Drosophila melanogaster: one gene and its partners. Changing the gene in region 2 together with the main gene of any one other region gives a genetic interaction. Each region holds a gene or a part of one and is shown on either strand. Other genes may lie near its edges.

Evidence for each region. Genes that interact genetically often act in the same process or in processes that back each other up.
Region 1: of Src42A (region 2) and drk, changing one suppresses a phenotype caused by changing the other (phenotypic suppression), as found in Drosophila melanogaster (2 studies listed by BioGRID).
Region 3: of Src42A (region 2) and boss, changing one suppresses a phenotype caused by changing the other (phenotypic suppression), as found in Drosophila melanogaster (one study listed by BioGRID).

What each region holds. Positions count from the first base shown.
Region 1 is NT_033778.4:13,499,842-13,505,994, forward strand, and holds the start of drk (downstream of receptor kinase), read right to left. Parts: upstream 3,001-6,153; 5' UTR 2,850-3,000; exon of another isoform or gene 2,084-2,849; 5' UTR 2,050-2,083; coding exon 1,972-2,049; exon of another isoform or gene 1,633-1,971; intron 1,168-1,632; exon of another isoform or gene 780-1,167; intron 1-779. Other genes in the region: mars, read left to right, coding at 3,195-4,701, 4,759-6,017.
Region 2 is NT_033778.4:5,989,877-5,997,093, forward strand, and holds the start of Src42A (Src oncogene at 42A), read left to right. Parts: upstream 1-3,115; 5' UTR 3,116-3,501; intron 3,502-7,217. UniProt on the Drosophila melanogaster protein: Required directly or indirectly for the phosphorylation of drpr which is necessary for the interaction of drpr with shark and subsequent glial phagocytic activity.
Region 3 is NT_033777.3:25,959,257-25,967,448, forward strand, and holds boss (bride of sevenless), read left to right. Parts: upstream 1-2,737; 5' UTR 2,738-2,787; intron 2,788-4,185; 5' UTR 4,186-4,307; coding exon 4,308-4,359; intron 4,360-4,662; coding exon 4,663-5,133; intron 5,134-5,192; coding exon 5,193-5,642; intron 5,643-5,763; coding exon 5,764-7,223; intron 7,224-7,284; coding exon 7,285-7,542; 3' UTR 7,543-7,692; downstream 7,693-8,192. Other genes in the region: CG14540 (uncharacterized protein), read left to right, coding at 220-1,158, 1,216-1,339, 1,407-2,185. UniProt on the Drosophila melanogaster protein: Acts as a ligand for sevenless tyrosine-kinase receptor during eye development.

The sequences.
Region 1 (6,153 bases), 7.5 Mb from region 2:
TGGATAATGCATAAATATTTAGCGGCGCTTTCGGAAGGCAGGCACGTAGTGGCCATGATTGTTATTATCAATTGTTTATACTCGTATGCTTATGTAATTACTAGAGAAAAAATTCTATTGTCGTTTCGGAAATCCGACGCTGAAAAAAGTGTCAAAGCAACACGAACGTTCACTTTTCGCTGTTTTCGCGACAAGCGAAAGTTGAGCACAGAATCCCATTTCGTGTGTTTCACATTGTTATGATAAAACGTGGCCACTTTTGGTGCCCACACAACAAGGCCGTTAGAATTGGAGGCATTTTTTTTTTTGGAAAATGGAGCTCCAAATATCCAAGAAATACGCTGACCTGTAAACCAGTTTTCTGGAAAGAGAACGAACCCCAATGAAATGTTTGATGATTCACAGCGCTCCTCTCTCTATCGCCTTCTATGCCTGCTGTATGTTTGCTGGATTGGGGCATCTTTTCAGATAAGGCTATCGAGAAGTGACTAATCGCTGGCAAACAAACAAATGCGCTGGGAGTTCGAACAGATATGCGTAACATACATATCTCCAATGCGAGATAATCGTGTATTTCTATTTATCCCCCGCATCAATGGAGCCCAGAACTATGGGCTATTAAACGAACTATGACTATCAGTGCGGATTGTTTACCCATTGATAAGACCGTGCAGCTGGACAGAGGGCTCATCTACGGCGTAGAAGCCCCTCTAATGGACGGGAGCAGCGCACACACTTGACCTTCGGGCGGCGATAAAGAAGCCTCTTCGGCGAGTCATTGACACCATCAATCAGCAGCAGCGGCAGCAGCAGCAACAAATGCTGCAAATGCAGCGGCGGCATATGGAAAAGAGGCGCAAAAAAAAGAGGCACAAAAAGGGAGAAAACCTGCCACGGGCCTGGGTTCCTGCTGTGACTAACCTACGACAAGGTAGACACACAGCAACGAAAATCAGCTTACATCGCGCCCTGGCAACAAGAAACCGGAAAATTCGCCAGCCAAAACAAAGGGTTTGGCCTAGGACAGCCAGCCAGCCAGCCATCGAGCCAGTGAGCCAACACAAACACAAACACCTGGAAGGAAGCAAGGCGGCGAAAAAGATCGAATCGCAGCCTGCCAGCAGCCTTTTTCTTGGCCAGAAAAGCCAGCGAATACAAGCAACACGGGTAAGCATCGGATGTCCCCCACAAAGTTCCGCAAAGTCAAAGGGGGCATCGAATATATCATCACTACAAACTGTTGGAATTGTTTTTCTAAGCATTCGGAAGAAAACGAATAAGGAAAGTTGAAATAGTATATATACTATAGGAATGCTAACAATAAATAAGTTCATTCAAGGAAACACAGTGAAAAATGCTAGATTTGCAAAGTATAGTATATAGATTAAATCATATATGCATGTTTATAGCTTTAGAAACCCCCTCCTCACATCATTTTTTAAACTTACTTTGTAATGCTAATCACAACTATATGCAGATTAAATGGGGTCAAAAATATGGTCTTGATAGATTTGAAGTGCAGTTGAGAAATGAAAAAATGTAGAGTAGAATGTACAATATTTCAGTATGTGATGCTTCACAAGGATTTTGTACTGATAGTGGAATATATTTGACTGAATCTTTTCGTTCTAGTAAGAGTATTCGGGCTGCGGTGGCTAATGAGTCGTAATCCTTTCGTGTTGCCTTCTGCGAATGCACCTTTTGAAACTCTTTAGCCAGCTTTTGCGACTGCTGTCTGTTTGGTCGCGATTTAGTAACAAAATCTGTCTGGGGATTGAACCTAGGATGTGGGTTAAGGCAACGACCTGGACGGCGGCAGCTGCATCGCAGCGGATTATGCATGCAGGACCTGCCACGTCCCCCTGTGCACCCCCTTACACCCTTGCGTGCCCCCATTCAGTGTGAAGTCTATGAATAAATGCAGATATTATGATTTGAGGTGGGAATTGATGATTTTGGAACAGCACTCACCTTTAGAATCTGAGTTTTGCGAAAACTCAGCTCGTCGTCAGCCGTCGCAGAGAAATCGTGTTTGGCAATCGCTTCCATTTTGCTGTGTTGTTTTGTGCGCAGTTAGAAAACGCTTTCGGAGTTTGTTTTAAAATTTAGTTGCAATTGTAGTTTTGGATTTAGTTCTATCAGCCTTGATGCACCACACACACGCACACACAGAGGCACAGACACACACGCTCGTTCTCTGCTCTTTCTCTCTAACTCTCTTTGAATTTCTCTCTCACTCACTACTCAGTGCTGTGGAAATGAAAACGAAACGAGACGAATCCGCGATTAGTTAGCGCACATTATATAAACGATAAATCATGGATATTCGGCAGTGCGCTTTTCTCAGTTCGGTTAATAATAATATATCTTGTGCGAAGGCAAGGGAAGAAAGCGATTAAAAATACACCGACGACGACGACATTCCCAGGCGGAGCAGCAACAGAGAATGAACACAGACACGAGCCGCTCTCTCCACGGCGGCCACTGTGTGGGTGTGTGTGCGTGAGCGTGGCAGCGTTGCCAGCAGCTTGCGATTTGGAATTTCGGGGAAAAGCAGGTACCGCAAAAGCAATTAGACGATGTTTGGCTATTACTTGTTGTTATGCGAAGTAATTTGCCTTAAATAATATGAAATGTGTCGCTTAGAACACAATTAACATTTGGCAATCTAGGGCGTGGGTGCTTGCTGTTGGCAATGCTGCCGCGGTGACGTTGTTGTTTGTTTTATTTTTTGTAACCCCAATAAACACACACACACACACACACGCGGCGCTTATATTTCTATATGCGTAAGTTGCGGCTAACTATTTTCGAGTCTCTGGCACGTGCAAAGAGGCCGCCGGGCTTACAATTTCAAAGGGCTAGGGTGGCTGCAAGCTTAAGCGACACTAATTAGGCGCGGGAGCGGTTTGGCTAACATATTACTACTGCTAAATTTGTAATTCACTTTTATTTTCATAGCAGCGTGACCGTGGCCGGGTCGCTTTATTATTCCAAGAAAATATACTGAACACAACACTGTGGGAGAGGCATACCGCAGGGCTTTCGTAGTTTTCCTTCACCTGGTCACACCGCAAGACGCTTCGCCATTTTAAAAATCAAAACAGGAGACGCTTCGCCGGAAAAGTCAGCATTACGTTTCATTCCCAACCGGACACTTCAGTTTGACTCGCCCATCCGTCACAGCAGTCGCCATGCAGCGCCACAAGGAACTGTACAAGGAGCAATCGCTGGTGCTGAGTCCGCGCAATCACTGCCAGGAGAACAGGGATCGGTTGCAGGCGGCGCGCGCCAAAAAACGAGAGGATTGTTTTTATCAGAACCGCATCATCAGCGTGAGCCCGACGCCCGTCAAAATAAAGCAATTGGCGGCGGCCCAAGCTGCTCTGACCCAGGAAAATGTGGCACCCAAACTGGAGAGTCCGGAGCGGCTGGACACGAAGCCCGCAGAACTGCTGAAGGAATCCAACCCGAAGGTCTCCCGCCAGAAGCTCTACTTACAACGCTACATGGAGTGGAAGATAGCCAAGACCAAGGAGCATAAGCAGCAAGACCAGAAACGTCGAGGCGCAGCCATCAATGTGCCGACAGTAAAACAATCAAAGGCCTTGCCCAAATCACAAACATTTCGGGTTCCCGATAATCTGGCTTCTGCAAAGCAGAAGGAGGCGGCTCCCATGTTCCAGCCTCCCAAGCGGTGTTCTCTCTACATGATTGCCAATCCGACGGGCAAGGGAAAAGCCGCAGAACCGATTAAACCTTCAATACCCAAGCCAACGTCAGCAGCAGCTCCTCCGTCATCCAATACCGTGGCTGCATCTTCCGCCTTGGCCAGGCATAAATCAGCTGCTTCTGCAACAAAAATAGTGCCTGCAATTCGTCAGAACAACAATCCAGTGGCCTTGGCCAGGCAAAAAGCAGCTGCACGACCCATTCCCAACACAACGAAGCAAACTACCAGTGTAAGGCAGCCTGGGATTGAAGCGAAAAAGATCACTACCACCATACCCAGACCCACCCCAGCGACAGTCACGAAAGCGAAAACGCCAGGCATACGACAACAGCCACCAGTGGTCAGCACAAAGCCAAGATTACCTGAGCCGCCAGCGCCACGGACAGCTAGACTGCCCAATGTGTTGTCCAAGCCGTTCGAGAAACCTTTAGGAAACAAGGCACCAGTGACACGACGGGCGAATGTCGTGAAACCACAGCCTATACGTGGCGGAGGTGGTGCCGCGGCCAAGTTCAAGGACACAGCTGGAGCGACCAGCAAGGCAGCAAGTCACTCCATACGAATGAAGGCCACCAAGATAAAGAGCCAGTACACGAGGCTTCAGGACAACGTGCGAAAGCTTCCTCAGCTCAAAGCCGAGTTGCTGCACGCAGCCACGCTAGATATACCGCCTCTCACGCCGCTAGACGATATCCATAATCCCTTTATCGACCAGGCCACATCAACGCAGTGCAAGTCGAACAATAGCAGCGGTCATCTTTTGGAGGCGTTTGGCGACACCATCTTGTTGAGCCCGGTGGCACCGGTCAAAGCTGAAGGAGAAAGTTCGGTGAAAAGGCAGTTGCTGCCGGAAGGTAAGAAAGAGGCGTCAGGTCCGGTGGCAAAGAAAAAGTTCGACTTTACGCGTTACTCAGTGGCGAATTCGCCGGCGGAGGACTCGCTCATCTTGGATCCTCAGCAGACGACGGGTGAGTTTGGGATACGCCTTCTCCAATCTTAAACTCAAACTCACATTTTCCTTTCAGTTAAAGAAGACACTGGAGATTCCACTTTGGTGCCAGAGGGTACAAAGACACCGCCACGTCGCGAATCCAATGGAATGCCCAACTATCTCAGTCCGTTTGTTAGTGTCTCGCGGGGAAAGGTGAACTCGCGCTGTGAGAAGGAGAAACGCAATAGCTTCTACCTGTCCAATGAGGAATCGCCCTTGGAAGTTCGCCGTGCCATTGAATCGGTTCTGTACTTCCGACTGCAGCTGGAAAACGAGATCACGCGCCTCCAAGCGCTTTGCGCTGAATGGGAGGCGTACAGCAAGGAGAATGAGGCACGGCTGCAGGAAACGGGCGGCATTGACATGATCAACGTGACCATCGGTCAAACACGTCTGCTGACCACAAAAAAGATGATGCAGTTCAGCGGCCTGATCGATCGTTGCGAGGCTGGAGCGACCGGCAAGAACAGTCAGCCAAACGATGGCAGTGAGGATTCGAAACCGGTGCAGGCTGAGGATCTGGAGGGCTGGTGGGACATGCTGCGCCTGCAGAGCGAGAACGTGGACAAGCGTTTCGATAACCTGAAACGTTGGAAGGCCAACGACTGGCTGGATCCGGATGCCGTGGCCGAGGAACCCAAACAGCCGAAGCCCAAGCCCAAGATAAGTCGCAACATGAAGATCAAATCGAAGGCCAAGCCGAGCAGCAATCTGCAGCAGTTCCTCCGCAAAGCCCATGCCAACATGAAGAAGACCAAGGTGGAGGAGCCAACGCTGGAGGATGGCCTGCCCGCCACGTCCTCGCGCCACAGTTCGCCGCGAGTAATCGTAGTTCGCAACCGCCGATCCTTTTCGCCCGCCCGCACAGTACTCCGCATGTCCACCGGCGAGGGCCGTCAGTCGATTGCGCCAAATGCGCTCCTGAAATCAGCGATTCTTGCGGCCGCCGAGCAGAACGCTGCCAAGACGCCGCCGCCTAAGCCGCGCACCTCCATCCTCAAGACGCCCGGCACCACGAAACGCCAGAACCGTGGCGTGCTCTTCAGCGCCAAGAAGAGCGTACGACGATTCCAGTTCACCTACGAGGAGGGAAACATTAGCAACGACGAGACAGTGGGCGCCGACAAGTTGGAGGACTGCGAGGAGGACATGTCGCTGGAAGCCTCCACGGAAAGCGGATCCCTGGAACAGAATCCGGGAAGGGATTCCAATCAGGAGAATGAAGCAACTCCTCGCACGTACACGCTGCGCAATCGGCGGGTGAATCTGCGTCCCTCCTCCGAGTTTATGTAGTTTTGTCTATTGACAGTAATTGTCCGTTGTGGAATTGTTTATACTTTTATCTTCTTAGTTTAATATTTTTTTGCGGATGCCATTAAGTGTTAATTTATTAAGATGTTGAAAATTACATTTGGCGTTTTAAATGTTC
Region 2 (7,217 bases):
AAAATATTTTTTATATATGTACCTGTTAGAAACGTGTTATTAATATATTAATTAATATTAATATTTTGGCAACTTGTAACTTCGGAGTTTGGCTTATGAAAGAAATCTTTAATTCTCGATTTGTTTTTGTTTTTTAAATCCGATTAAACCATAATTTATACAAGTTTTGAAAAATATTAGTTTCCGTGTTATCACGCCAGTGAAAAAAACTTTCCCATGCGTAAATGAATATTTATGATTTTCTGTACTAATGAAATCTCCCCGATTGCCACACGAATGTTAAAGCCCCACAGTTTTTCCATCGGAAGGCGCTAACCAATCTTCTCGAGAGTATTTCTGTTCAGCTTTGAATGTGGGTCAAAGAGAAATAAGTTGAAAGAGTGAGCAGGAAGGTGCAGGGGATTGTGTCTTTATGGTGGTTAAAACGCAGTGACGTCAATGATCACCGATGATTTTAAAGCGTTTACACAGAATACGGCAGAGACGACGAGGCCAGCTCTTGATTTAATTCAAGTGAATTTTTCAGGGGAAATACCTGGACACTCGGTGAATTAACTTCTTGCTTATGCGCTCTTCTTGCTTAACTTGACTTCCGTCAATGGGAAAGTCCGAGCGAGTCGAGCTATTTGACAAAGTGCTAAATGGTTGAACCGAACATCTTAAATTGACTATTACGTAGCTTTAAACGTCGCCAATAATAAAAACGTCTAAATTAGAGCCACCCACAAACACCGAAATCCATAAAACCAATTTTTATTCGTTCCCAGTTCAGATCGTAAATCACTCGCAAAGAGAAGCACATCAAAATCAGCAAACTCACTTAAATACACAAATATATTTTTTTTTTTGCTTTGAGCATTAAGCAATCGCCAGGCGTAGCAATTGAACTCAAGCCTAACTCGAATTTAAAATTTATAATGGAACAACTTTGATTTTGAGTCACTTGTTGCTTTAAAAAGCAGTATCTGTCATATGACGTTTGGATTCTCGTGCGTTTTTTTTTGCATTTAATTTGCCTCGTCTTCCGACACGGAAGACCGCACCTGACGCTATGAAGCTCAACGCAGATCCGCTCTGCTGCTCTCTTGTTTGTTGTTAGCGTCAAATTGCCACAGTGAAAATGATCGATTTATGAGTTTTTCGTTTTTGGCTAGTTCCAATGTCAGAGGAGCATTATTCTGTATACGCATATTGAGTTTCGGTTAATTAAAATGTTCAATAATATGATTGTTGAGAGCGATTTGAGAAGACTCAAATAAATATTTTAACAATTAAAGAAAAGTTATGATACCACAGTTTGCAAATAAATGGGTCCGATTTTCCAAATAATTATAATTTCAGCTCATATGCAGCGAATTTAGTATTTTTTGAACCTCCGTATTCATTATTCATTAATAATTCAAGCCATCCTTTATTTTACTCCCGTTGCCACTATAGGCTGCAATTGTTATTGAACATGACATCAGAAAATGTCGTTGAACCCACGAAGAGAAGGCAATTGTTTTAGAGAGCCACATGCAAGAGCCGTGTCGGCATTTATTCATATTTCCCTGTGTTCATGCGTGGTGAAGTTCCGATTTAGTTGAGCGTTCTTCTTTCGGCTCAGGTGAAGTGTGTGTGTGTGTAGACAAATCATTCGAGTTTGTGGCAAGTCAATAATACTCAATAGAAGGCAATTGTTTTAATAATTTGTCAGTAGCTAAAAAAAAACATAAGTGACAACAGACTCGGTCGTCGCTCTCCAGGAAGGTCGAACGACTACATTTTAATTGACTCAGTGATATAGTGTTAATTTTTAGCTGATACGTCCGATAAAGACTACATATACTAACGGTGAACGTGTTGATGTTATAGGAATTTGAATTAGCGTAAAATTGCACAGGAAGCAAATATTCACCTAGTCTGGCTGGGCATTAATTGACTCGTAATTTACGTAGAGGTAAATACACACATTTCAATCAGATTAGGACAGTAGAAGGAGACGAAATCGCATTTTGTCGATACAGTTTGGTGTGTGGCTAGATTTGATTTCAGTTATACGACCTGTAAGCTGTGACTTTGTGCTGTAATATTGTAAAAGTTAATTTAAAATGAAAAAAGAATATACTGCTAAGTTAGATAACCGTATACTTCAGTGATATTGGCCATACTGCCTAACGTTTTTATAAAAGTGTCCTTTTATTTATTTATTTTGCATTACACAACCCGTTAAAGTTAACATTTAACACTTTCTGTTTACTTTTTATTTCCAGGTAAGTCCCAATATTTCAGTATTTAAGGGTTTTGTGGTCAGGGAAACGGAGAATCTGAGCCATCGACGTAAACACATGTGTTTATATGTGCACATGAATTTCTATTTACATAAGGGAGCTCAGGAACACTCATATTTGGTCAAGTGTTAAATCAAAGTGACTAACGACTATGTTTATAGATTTTGCCCTCCGACTTTTCGCAAAATATCCCCAGGTATTCGTTAATATATTCTTAATATTAAATGGTATGTCCAGGCGCGAGTCCCCACTGCGAGTCCCTTCTGGATTGGATACTAGCCATTAGTATTCCCACGATGTAGACTCTAATATTTTCTATTTCAGCAATGTTCCATAGCATACCTTATCAATGACGAGTTCAATGGCGTTCACAAGAACCCAAGCGGAGACATTTAGAAACAAATAATTTGATTTCCAGTGACGCGACAGTGCTGAGTTATTTTGGTTACGTGAACAAATTAATACAACCTGACATTTTGTCAGTAACAGCGACGAGTTAATTGTTTTCAACTCGATTTGATCTTTGCAATCAACGCACTTTGTGACTAATTGTTGTCGTAATTACAAAACTGTGCAGTTTATCTCGGAGCATCTTAAGAGAGAGGCACTTGGAGACGAAGAGCGAGACCACTCTTCGACGAGCCATTGGACTTCTGGGCCAAGATAAAAGAGACTAAGCACACAAAGATGGATCGAAGAGCGAGAGAGCGGGAACGGTTGGCCAACACGCGGGCAGCGAGCTTGGCTCAAATGGCACACACATAGATGCCAAGGCGGCGGGTGCGAGTGTGTCGGTGCGGTGGCAAGCGGTTAAAACCTTTCTATAAAAATTTCATAAACGTATCAGTTGTCTGCGAAGCGGTGCACAAAACGGACGTGTAAACGGAAGCCGCACGAAAACGGCTCGGAAATCGGAATAGCGCCCGTACACGCAGCACATAGGAAATCGAATCCGAATCTGAGTTAAATGCCTTAATCGAATTTGGCCAAAGCTCGCCTACCGCGCTTACAAGTTTTTTCGTTCACGGGCCGATGAAATCTATATAATCTATTATCCACAAGCCACCACAGAGCCACTAGATGCACTGTGCGGCGCATGCGCGACCTGTTTGTGTTGTTGGCATACTTCTAACAGTCAGTGTTTTCTTTGTTCAAAAGTGCCTCAAGTAAAACCCCACTTTGATATGGATAAGTGGTAACAAGAGCAGCAGTAGCAGCAAAACTGGAAAAGGTACAAGCCCAGGGAAGCTGCAGTGTGCGGAACATTCCTCTGGTGGATCCGAACTCAGAAAAAGATGGGAACAGAACTTTCTATTTTCTTTACTGTTTCGCGTGTGTTTCGCTGGTCATGCAAACATATTTTCTTTGCCTCGGCGCATGCCGCTGGAATTAGAACGGTGTATTCCGTGCGGAATACAAAGTCGAGCTTATTTCGTAAGAGAATTCCTGCGAATCTGGTTATGCAATGCCTGACAGCCCACAAAGTCGTCCTCAAGTTGTTGCGAACTTTATCGTTTACTATGTGCTAAAATGCACAACTGGCTTGCCAAACGGGTGATACATTTTTGTAAGTGCTAAAGCGCTCAGTTCCGTGCACATGAACTTTCTTATACACTGCTGTGCACTTCCACGGCGTTTTTTTTTTTCAGACACCATACCAGGCCTCAGAAATCATATCAATTTCGACTTACGTGACTTGGGCAAACTGCGCCATTTCGCACATATTCTTTGCGTTTAGGCTAAGATTTAAGTTGGCTCTCAGGCTTGGAATTAGCGGAGTTTAGGGCCTTCTTTTATATCGCTTTTCAGCCTTCTCTTGCTGCACTGTGCCGTGGTCGTAAATTTCCTGCGTCATGAGTCATGCCTGTCAGTCGGAGTCGCTTAACAACAGCAGTGGTAGCAGAAAAAAGATAAAGATACAGATACAAAATATTCAGTTGAAAAACACATGAAAATTGCTTTCATGGTATTGAGTGTGGAGCTCCAGATGAGCTAAAGAGAGGCAAAAAAGCTCATTGTTTATGGTAGCTGGCTTCGTGGTCCGCTCTTTGTTGTTGGCATTCCGAGCTGTAACCTCTGATTGTGATCCCTTCGAATTACTCCTTTCAGTTCATTGGTTCTCTCTTCAGCTCCTGCCACTTAAGCTATTAACTGTGGACCGTGCACTTTCCCAAAAACCTCTTATACATACGCTGACGATACTTTGTTTTCAGTTAGAATAAATAAATACAGTAAGGGAATAAAATAAATGTGGTTTTTAAAGCATATATGTGCAATCTCGGAGTCACGTTCCTACTGGAATATTTGCGTCGTCCTTGCACTTCTCTTTTTTGAGTAACGGGTATTTGTTAGTCAAAGAACTCGCTTTGGTGTTTTCTCTTGTTTTTTTAAGAGTGTTGGCGCCACAAAATATTTGATGAATGTGAAGGACGTTCAATTTCTTTTAGTTTCTCTCTTAAAAAAACAATTTTTTTATTAAATTAAGTACACGAATGTCGCGGATATTAATATATATGAAAAGTTCGACATATCGAATAAATTCGAATTCCATGAGTGGAAGGGAACTAAGTCTCGTCACCATTGTGCAATGACCTAAATCACGGTCATAAAATCAAAGCCAAACTTTTTTTTACCATAAGTTTTGTTGTGTTGGTTGAGGTTGTCGGTCAATGGCTATGTTTTTGCTGGCCAAATAGCTTACTTTTGATTTCCACATTAATGGAGCGCAGCAAGCGAATCACAATGTTATTTGCATTAAATTTTTTTGGAGTCACGGAGAAAGTACGCACAAAAGCTATAAATTAGACGGCATCACACAGCTTCTTAATTCCTATCGCTCTCTTGCAATGATTCACTTTTTTTTGGCTACGCAACGTAGACTCGCTCACAGATTTGGCTGAAAACCATCATGTCGAATGGCAACAGAAAGAGTTAGTGTTTGATTTTCGAGGTTTACTAGTTGTGGATTGGCGCACTAGAAGGAAATAACAAAAAAGCAGACAAACATAAAAAACGTTAAACCGGTTCAATTTGGGTCGTAGTACCTTTGAGTGCAATTGTTACCTTTCAGAAACAACGACAACAAAGACTTCGCCAATCGCACTCCATTCCACTCGCTCTGCAGCTCATTATACCCGTTATTATGTTCGTCTTGTTCAGTTTTCTTGGCACGCGTTACCGTAAAAAAAAAAAACTCCCACACAAGCAACCGAAAACACATCGAGCGATATTTTGTAATGACCATGCTTCGAATCGGTTACCATAGGTCAGTCAACAAGTTCGGTGTGAGTTGAGCTTTTATTCAGGGATAAACGCACCGTAGTCTTTTTGTTCATACTCGGTTAGTAACAAAAACTATACAAATCTTTAAAACACTCGAACAATTTTGGTCTTTTTGTACAACTTAACGTATGTAAGAATGTGTAAAATATTGTAAAACACAACGATTTTCTACTAATGTTTTTAAAACATTTTAAAGATATTTTTAAAATATCATATACCGATTCCTCTGAAGTCCACCTACGGCTGTCTAATTCGCTAGATGTTGACTGTAAAAGGTACAGGGTTTTAAAATTGTTTCAATAAAGCAAAATGTTCCCGGATATGTTTCGATCAAGAATATATATATATATATACATTTTATATATACTTTTCAACGAATCTAATTTCCGCTTTTTATCTTCAACTACAGGAATAAAAATATAATTTCTTGGTACACGACAGTATTAGTCCTTGACGTCCGACTCGTGACAAAAACTGCTAAAAGATATAGATTACTATATGCATCAGAGCTTTCAATAGCCTTTCGAAAACAAGACGGGTTCAACTGGTTTTATACAACGTCGTTGCTGTTATGGTTATTGTTGGTGTTTATCGTTAAATCAGCTGTTTTATTTTAAAGTTATTGTTTAGATATTGTTGATATCAGATATATAGCACACATAAATGTGAAGTTTATTGTTTAAGAAACAAGAGTATTAAAGTGTTGGAGTCATCGTTTGTTAGTTAAGTGACTTGAATGTCTGCTATCCCTTACTTTGTTAGCAAATTGCAAACGGATTGCATGTAATATTCACGAAGGTTTAGAGTTCATTTAATTGATTATTAATGAGAATCCTTAAAGTTTTTCGGCATGGGCATTCGCGTAGGGATGTGTACGATTTAAAATAAACTTTTACTTAGCAGGTTTTCACAAGAATCTGCATCTCACATCTGTTGCGCATTTAATCGAAGACAATGGAAATTTCTTTCTTTAAAAAAGGATATATTTTGTATATATCTAAAAAAAAAAATTTTAAGTGTATGAAACATAAAAAAAAGAGTAAAGTTCACAGAGTAAAGGCTCGTATAGTGGTGATGATTAAGAATATACGTGCACACATATTTCGTGGATACGAAAAAGAAGTACGCCATGGGTTTATATAGTAAACCCCAATGCTTGATGTCTGTTTGAAGTTCAACTAAGAAAAGGTGGTCTTAATTTACTTAATACTGGCAAAAACTCTGCGACTTTCTGATATCTTGTTGTTGAATCACTTAAGGTACCTTTTTCCTCAGTTTGTTTTGCGTTTTTCTGTTGACATTGACATTTGCGCATTCTGACAGTATTGCGACAATATACCTACAATTCAGAACAAGCGCACTTGTAGATAGCAAGATCGAAAGTGATTTGTCTGCACGATGTCCAGCATCATGACATCCATTGGTTTGAATCGATGACTTGACCACTTTGTCTCAAGAGTTCATTTTGTCGGCTCAGCATCAATCTGTTGCCTTTCCTTCGAGAAAAGAGAGTTAACCTTAAAGGGGAGATGGACAATATTATCTTTGCTGTGCATACAAATAACTAAAACTAAATGATCAGCTGAAAGACAGCTTCAGACACTGCACAGAATTTTTCTACGGATCTCGCAAGGGTCGTCAAGTAAATAACCGCGTGATCTGACG
Region 3 (8,192 bases), on a different chromosome or scaffold from region 2:
TTCACACGAGTAATATTTATCCAATCTATCTATCCAGTAGGCTGGTGTTATAACATTCACTATCTTTCTATATCCCTCATTCATTTTAGCTAAATCATCCAAAGAACATAAATAGATGTAAAATATATCAAATACAGTTTATACATTATTGTGCTTTTGCGTTTATTGGTGCAACTCGAGGCCAACGAAAGTTTGTTTCGGTGAGTAAAGAGCCTTTGGATGAAGATGGTGCGCCCAATTCGTCGCAAGGGAATCGAGGAGGTCTATGGTTCCAAAATGGATTCCTTGCATCCGGTAAAGTCGGTAGCGATATCCCATGCAGGTGTGACCAAGAAAACAGCAAGGGCTGAGAGATCGGGTCCAGGCGGTGCAACTGGCGGTGGAGGAACCATTAGCTCCCGACAAGTCGATGCTCGCACTCAGCGCAGTTTTGTCACCGAAAATGATTACTACATCACCACCAATCTGCCGTTGACGGCGGCCAATCTGCGAAATGCCCCCGGTTCGATGGCGCAGCCATCAATATCGCAAATGATTCCCGGCCATGTCCAGCCATCTCCATATAACGCCATGCCCTCGAGGCGAAACCAAATGGCCAATAAGGCCAGTGCTCGTCAGGCGCCGATGAACAAGGTGCCGCATTTTAGCCCGGCCGAAGGCACGGTAAACCCTAATGGCTATGGCATGTCCAAGTCGAAGGAGACATACCGAATGAAGCACCGCGAAAAGGGCAATACCCAGAGGAACGACTATCCAATGGATGACAACGACGACTACTCCGATAAGGAACTAATGGTGCCCCAGCAGGGAAACATGGGAAATATGCGCCGGCACAATCCGCACTCTCATGCCCATCAAATGCAAATGCAGTTGCAATCCGGAGCAATGCAGCATCCGCCGCAACACCAGCTGCACCAGCAGCAGCAGATGACTACTCACAACCACCTCAAGCATCAGCAACAGCAGCGCCTCCAGCATTCGCAACCGCATCAGCATCAGCATCAGCATCCGCATCCGCATCAGAAGCAGATGCGTGGGCGACAGCCTGTTCCGGCGAGCAAGGTGCACGTGAGTACCGCCGATGACGATGAAGATAAGGAGGAAGATCCTGAGGAGTTCTTTGACCTGATCCGCCAGACTGTCAAAACGGCCGTTGGCGTGAGTTTCGCATAAGTTCCTTAGTTGATTAGTTAATACACTATGCACTTTCTTTAGAACACCATATCCGATGCTCTGGCAAAGAACTTTCGCGATCTGAGCCACAAAATCGAAAGGTTCTCGGGCGAGTTGAAGCAGACAAACGATAACCTGGATAAGCTGCAGGAACAAGTCATTAGCAGTGAGTTTATTTACTTTCAGTGTTTATTTGGTATTTATAATATGTAACTATTTTTTGGCATCTGCAGAGGTAATTTACTTCGGTGAGGAAAATTCGCGACACTTTCGGTACTTGTGCATGAAATCCGAGTACGATAAAATGTTTTACCAGCATCAATCGCTGATGAATGGAAAGCCCACTCAGGAAATGCTGAGTCTTTCGAAGGCGAACTTAGAAGCAGCGGCCTCAGTCAGTCAGAATCTGACACAGAAACCGTCGCATAGTTTAAAACAACAACCAGGAAAAGTGATTAGGAATCAAAGCAAAATGCCTATTAGCGCCAAAAAAGACCATAACGAGTCCCTAATGAACTCCAGTGCCTATCGTAGCATCTGCAAAGCTCAGCAGCCAGTTCTTGCTGCACAAAAGTCGTCATCGGAGCAAAGTTTAGTTGTAAAATCATCTGATGTGGGCGTGCAAGAAGTCCTGGATAATATCCAGCGCTACTGCAATCAGGTGAAGGATATGAATGGTCAGATGTCGGCTGAACTGCCCAGTCTCGAGGACATCTTGATACCCAAGAAAAATTCAAACGGTGGACTTTGTCAGCCAGCAGCCATGAGCTCTAGGACCCTCGCAGGTAGTCAGAAAAATAAAAAGGTTGACGACACGGAGATCGAAACGCCCAACGATAGTACGGATGAGACCTACACCGAAGTGGATGACTTCCAGCTCTCCTCGGACATCTCGACCGGCAGCGAGGACGATGACTGTGGCCTCAAGTATCCAAGTGGAGCAACTACGAGCCGGCCCAACCGCAAATTAAATCGAAGGGGAGCCAACCAAGGCGCCGGAGATGGTCAGTAAAGCCACTGGAGTGAAGATAAAGGAGCATTCAAACTGAAGGGGAACCCATTCCTAGAAATCGCCTTAATACTTATTTAAATATTACTTTTGGCATGACCTAAATTATTTCTGATAATGTAAAGCCAAAAAAAATTGGATCAAATGTTTCGACAAATTAACTATAACTTATCGTACCTGGCGTACATGTATTCATTTAATTCATTTTTAGGATCACAATTAAACTATGTTCAAAATTTAAAACTGGCTTTCATATTCTTATTTATGTTATGTGAACAGCTTACATTGAGCATAAAACTGACCTATTTGGCCCTTGGCAATCCCGATTCTCGCTGAGTAATGCCCATTGGTGTCACTAATAAGTGCATATTATATTGACTGCAAAGCAAGAATCAACTGAGCTGGCCAAAACAAGGCATCACCCCCATCCGGCAACCGGGTAAAACTGAGTCGAGTGGAAAATAAGGCCTAAGACCACCCCCACTAGCCCTAACCTGCAGCTGCATTTTTATGGGCTTACGAGTGTCGCGGCTCTGCAAGTTCTTCCGCTAGTTCAGTTGGCCAAAACAGTTTAAACGTGGACGTGGTCCGTCGGTAAGATATTGGTGCGTCTATTCAAAGTAAAATGAGTATTTAAATAAAAAGCCAAACAGCTTAATAAGGCCATATAGTTGCTTTTTGGGCAATTAAAGTTAAACCCCCTAAAGGAATTGAGCTCTAAATTAAACTTATGCAACGTGGCCAAATGAAAATGCTTACTTTTCAACTGATGTTGCGTTTGACGTGAATTAAAAGTGTTATGCAAAGCCCCAAAACCCGGAAAAGTGCCATACGAATGTCAAAGCCCAAGGCACGAGTGTCGGTTCTGTTTTCAAGGATATTCCACTGAACAGTTTGCATTGGATAGCCATAAAATAAAATAAAACATTTTGATAAACCAACGAGGATAGCAAACATTGTGCAAGCTATCCACAAGTGCCGAACTGTAAGACTGGCCAAATTGCAATTACTGATCGGCACCTTTGACAGGCCACCCTATTCCACCCTGAAACCCGAAACCCTTTTGCCCAGCAAGTTGGCTAATTGCAATGACCAATATTTGAACTGGCTTCGGGGTGTACATATTTATTTGTATAATTATGGGAAATTGTACACTCGACGTGGAAAGCACTCAATTTCGTGAGTGACTGTTTGAGCCAATAACCATAACAACCAGCGAGTGCCGGGCCTCAGCCAAGTTAGTCAAAACAAAACGGCCAAAACAGGTGCAAAACATTGCCACATCAGTGTTCCGCCTTCGGTTTTCCAGGGGGTGGGTTCGAAAACGGAAAAACTAAAATAAAATAAACTGAAATAGAGACAAAAAAAAAATCGAATAGAACATAATTGCATTGTGCGGGCAACTGCAATGCTGCACCCGTTAACACAGGGGCTTACCAAATCAAATTGGTTGTTCGTGGGCCAACAATAAATATATATGTACGGTTTGAGTGCTGCGTACATCACTGGACAAATATAAAACGAGAAACGTTTAATTGACCCTAAAATCACTGAGGCGTTCAATTTGTGTTCCCTTGTTGTTTTTTCTTTGTTTTTTTTTTTTGCCAATTGCTGTTGCCCAAAACTATTGTGGCTCTGACTGTCAGTGGGTCTAGTGCGTGAATCTGTGCAATAAGTGTGTGCAGTGCCATAAATTCCAGAATTCGGCTTCCACAAAAAACCTCTATTGATTTTCCCGAAGTGAGAGAATATGCGAAACAGAAATTTTTTCCACCGTATTACTTTGCACTGATAGTGGGCAAAATCACGAAGAAACAGACATGGAAAAGTGGAAACTATGCCAAGCCAACAAAGTCTGTGTTAGTGTGACAATTTTTAATGCGATTAAAGTGCAGCACTCTCCACGCAGTCGGCAAAATGGTTGAAGTGGCCGGCAAAAAATAAAAAATACAATTCTGCACACTGGCTAATATCCAACTTACCATTTTCTTTCTTCCTTCTAGCTATCAAAATAAAAATAAAATGATATCAATTATCAGTACATGTTGAAGGAAAGACTGCTGCATTGCTTAATTATCAACGGACATTTTTTGTATTTAATTGTAAAACCTTTAAAACTTTAGAAATGAAGGTCATGGACGCTTTGCAATCTGGACGGAGAAAGCCATTACCAGTGGGTGAGTGCTGAGTAAATGTCGTAAGGCAGAAGTGAAGTGCAATGGAATGAATGGCAACTTGAGGGGATTTCTTTTTCCGGGAATATTTCAAGACCTGTATTTTTCTCAAAATGCCATTCAAGCTTGAGTTTGTGTAGAAAATTCCATTGCAAATATGGTTTAAGTGAATTCCTTTATTGAGTAATTCAATCAATTAACTAGTCAATCAACCATGCTAACCAGAACAAAGTTACTTTAAATTTAAGGACGACGATATTTTCCATCTTATACGAATAAGATTTAATTCATTGTTGTCCTCTGCAGCTCTTCTATGCATCCTAGTCACTGTGTTCTGCGTCTTGGAGTGCCATGGAGCTGACCTGACATCACCCACCAAGAAGTCCGCTCCCCTTCGAATAACCAAACCACAGCCCACAAGTCAGCAGGCCAAGCCCATCAGTATTACCACAAGGGCCCCAACAACGGTGGCATCAACCACCGATGATGAAGTCTCCAGCTCCGTCGATGGTCAGCTGGCCCCGCTCATCTCATCCACAACCGAGGGACCCAGCAGTGGAACAACTGCCAGCTTAGTGCCGGAAATATGTCTCAATGGTCTGCAGTTGACGGTCAATAGTGCGGATGAGGGAACGGTTATACGGAAGCAGGAGGAGTTTGTCAAGATACTCGAAGGAGATGTGGTGCTCAGTGTCTTGACCAAGGACCCCGACTCCGCGTTGTTCGTAATCAATCGTGTGAACCAGGCGAATCTTATAATGGCAGACTTTGAAATTGGTTTGTAAAATTCCGCTATTTATATGCACCTAAATCAAATCCTTCTTATTGAATTCCAGGAATTCGCGCCATCAGCATCGACAACGCCAGCTTGGCAGAGAACTTGCTTATTCAAGAAGTTCAGTTTCTGCAGCAGTGCACGACGTACTCGATGGGCATATTCGTTGACTGGGAGCTGTACAAACAACTGGAGTCTGTTATCAAGGACTTGGAATACAATATCTGGCCAATACCGGGAACGCGGGCGCACCTCTTTCCCAAAGTTGCGCACTTGCTGCATCAAATGCCTTGGGGCGAAAAAATCGCATCCGTGGAAATAGCAACCGAAACGCTGGAGATGTACAATGAATTCATGGAAGCCGCTCGCCAGGAGCACATGTGCCTCATGCACTTCAAAAGTGACGATAATGTTTACATAATGTTTGGCAATAAGCTAGCTAGTCACTTCAAGGAAAACGGCACTCTGTTTTCCGTGCCCACCGATAGAACGGACGATGAATTTCTGGCAGGTGGGTAATAACTACAACGAACAGGATTACTAAAGTTGTGGGTCCTTTTGATTTATTGTTTAAGTTAAGGATTAAGACTGATACATTTTACTTACGCATTAATTTCTTCTTTTCTTTTTAGACTTACCAAACAGAGCTTTTGTCCTAATGGAAAACGAAATTGACCTGAGCACCGCCGTTGAATTGGACGCCACGCCCACCGCTTTGGACGAGATCCTGATCGGGAAGAGTGTGTTACCATCGCGAGTCCTGAGCTTTGCCGGCTCCATAATCGACCTGATGAACTGGCTGCGCGGATCCCTGTCCAAGCACTGTAAGCGTGGTGAGGAGCACGACTTGTATGTGCTGGAGAGCTGTTTCAACTTCCTGAACTTCATCGAGGACTGGCGAACCTCGGAGTACCGACAAGCCCATGATACGGCTGAGATCCTGTCGCTGCTGCTGATGCGCAAGTTGGGCACCGCCATGAACTTTCAGATGTACCAGAAGAAAGTGTTGACGCTGGACAAGATCACAGGTGAATCGCGTACCGAACTGCGCGAGATTGCGTCGCAGAACTTTGTGACCAATGTGACCACGTACTATCACTATAATCGGGACAATCACACCAGTTTGGAGCTGAAGACCAAGTTTGGTCAGGTGTTCAACTGCCAGTACAGTGCTGGTGACAATAGGAGATATCCATTCCTTTTCGATGGTGAATCCGTTATGTTCTGGCGCATCAAGATGGACACATGGGTGGCAACTGGGCTGACGGCTGCTATCCTGGGCCTGATTGCCACGCTCGCCATCCTGGTGTTCATTGTGGTGCGCATCTCGTTGGGCGATGTCTTCGAGGGAAATCCGACCACCTCGATTCTCCTTCTACTCTCCCTCATCTTAGTGTTTTGCTCCTTTGTGCCCTATTCGATTGAATACGTGGGTGAGCAGCGCAATTCGCATGTGACCTTCGAGGATGCCCAGACTCTGAATACCCTGTGCGCGGTGAGGGTGTTCATCATGACTCTGGTCTACTGTTTTGTTTTTTCCCTGCTCCTCTGTCGCGCCGTGATGTTGGCTTCAATTGGTTCCGAAGGTGGCTTCCTATCCCATGTGAATGGATATATTCAGGCAGTGATTTGCGCCTTTAGTGTTGTGGCCCAAGTGGGCATGTCCGTGCAACTTCTGGTGGTGATGCACGTCGCCTCGGAGACTGTGTCCTGTGAGAATATTTACTATGGTCGATGGTTGTGGGGACTGTTGGCCTACGACTTTGCTCTACTGTGCTGTGTGGGCGCCTTGATACCCTCTATATACAGATCCCAACGAAACTATCGCGAGGGAATACTCATTGTCATTGGATCGGTTTTAATTATGGTAATTTGGGTGGCCTGGATAGCGCTATCCTTATTCGGGGACGAGTGGAGGGATGCGGCCATTCCATTGGGATTGCAGGCCTCTGGTTGGGCGGTACTGGTGGGCATTCTGATACCACGCACCTTCCTCATCGTAAGGGGTATCGAGCGGTCGGATATTGCCCAAGCTCTGCCTTCACTCACTTCGCTGGCTTTTGCCCAGAACAATCAATACTCCTCGGAACAGGTGGGTTCCTAGAAAATTAGCAAGAAACTTTTCTGATTAACTTTAAAATCTATTCTTACAGAGTGTTTACGAGTGCGTGAATCCCGCCATGCGCCATTGTTCCCAGGATGAGGTGAACCACCAGTCGCCTAGTGAGATTCCCACGTTACCCCTTCGAGGAGGTGGCCCACGTCGCCAGCAGTTCTTTGCCAATCTCCGCCAGGCCAATGCCAACATTAATCCACAACGTCCTCCACCTCGACCCCAGCAGAGTCCCTCCCGATCCTCGGTGTCCTCGCTGCCGCCCTCGCCCGATCACAACAAGATCACCCGGTTTTAGCCCACGAGTGTACAATGTGGCACTTCTAGTCAACGCTCCCAGTACGTGAATTCAGCTAAGAACTGTCCAACATTTTGAATCACTGACGAACCAAGAACTTATTGAAGTTGATAAAATAAATAATAAATCGATACAAATTAATATAATCACAAGAACCTTTTTTCTGCCCACAATCTGAAGCGAGCCGCTCCTGTAATTTTTTCATCGCAACAGATATTTTTATCAGAACGGTTTGTGCGCCTGCTAAATGAAAGCTGCGAAAGCTCAGCGACTTTCTCCTCTTGCTCCTGCTTAATCGGCCTATAACTCTAATTGGCTGGGCAAACACGTGACAGGGCGGCAAACAGCGAAAGCTAGACGAGCTATAGGAAAACTCATCTAAGGCGAAACAACGACGGCAATCACAGGACCCGATATCCTTGTGCGTCACGCGACATTGGACGCCCATTTGTTTGGCCTTGGAGGAGTGGGTGTGTGGAAGGGGGCCCCAGGAGGACGCTGACGTCAGGGTGACACTGGCCGGGGCAAGAACATTGACCATGGTACATGGACAAATGCGCAACAAGATATGCTATCAAGCCGCCACAAAGGCCGGCAAAAAAAAAGCGAGGTTGCCACAAACTACCGACTACACGCGACCATTTCAAATG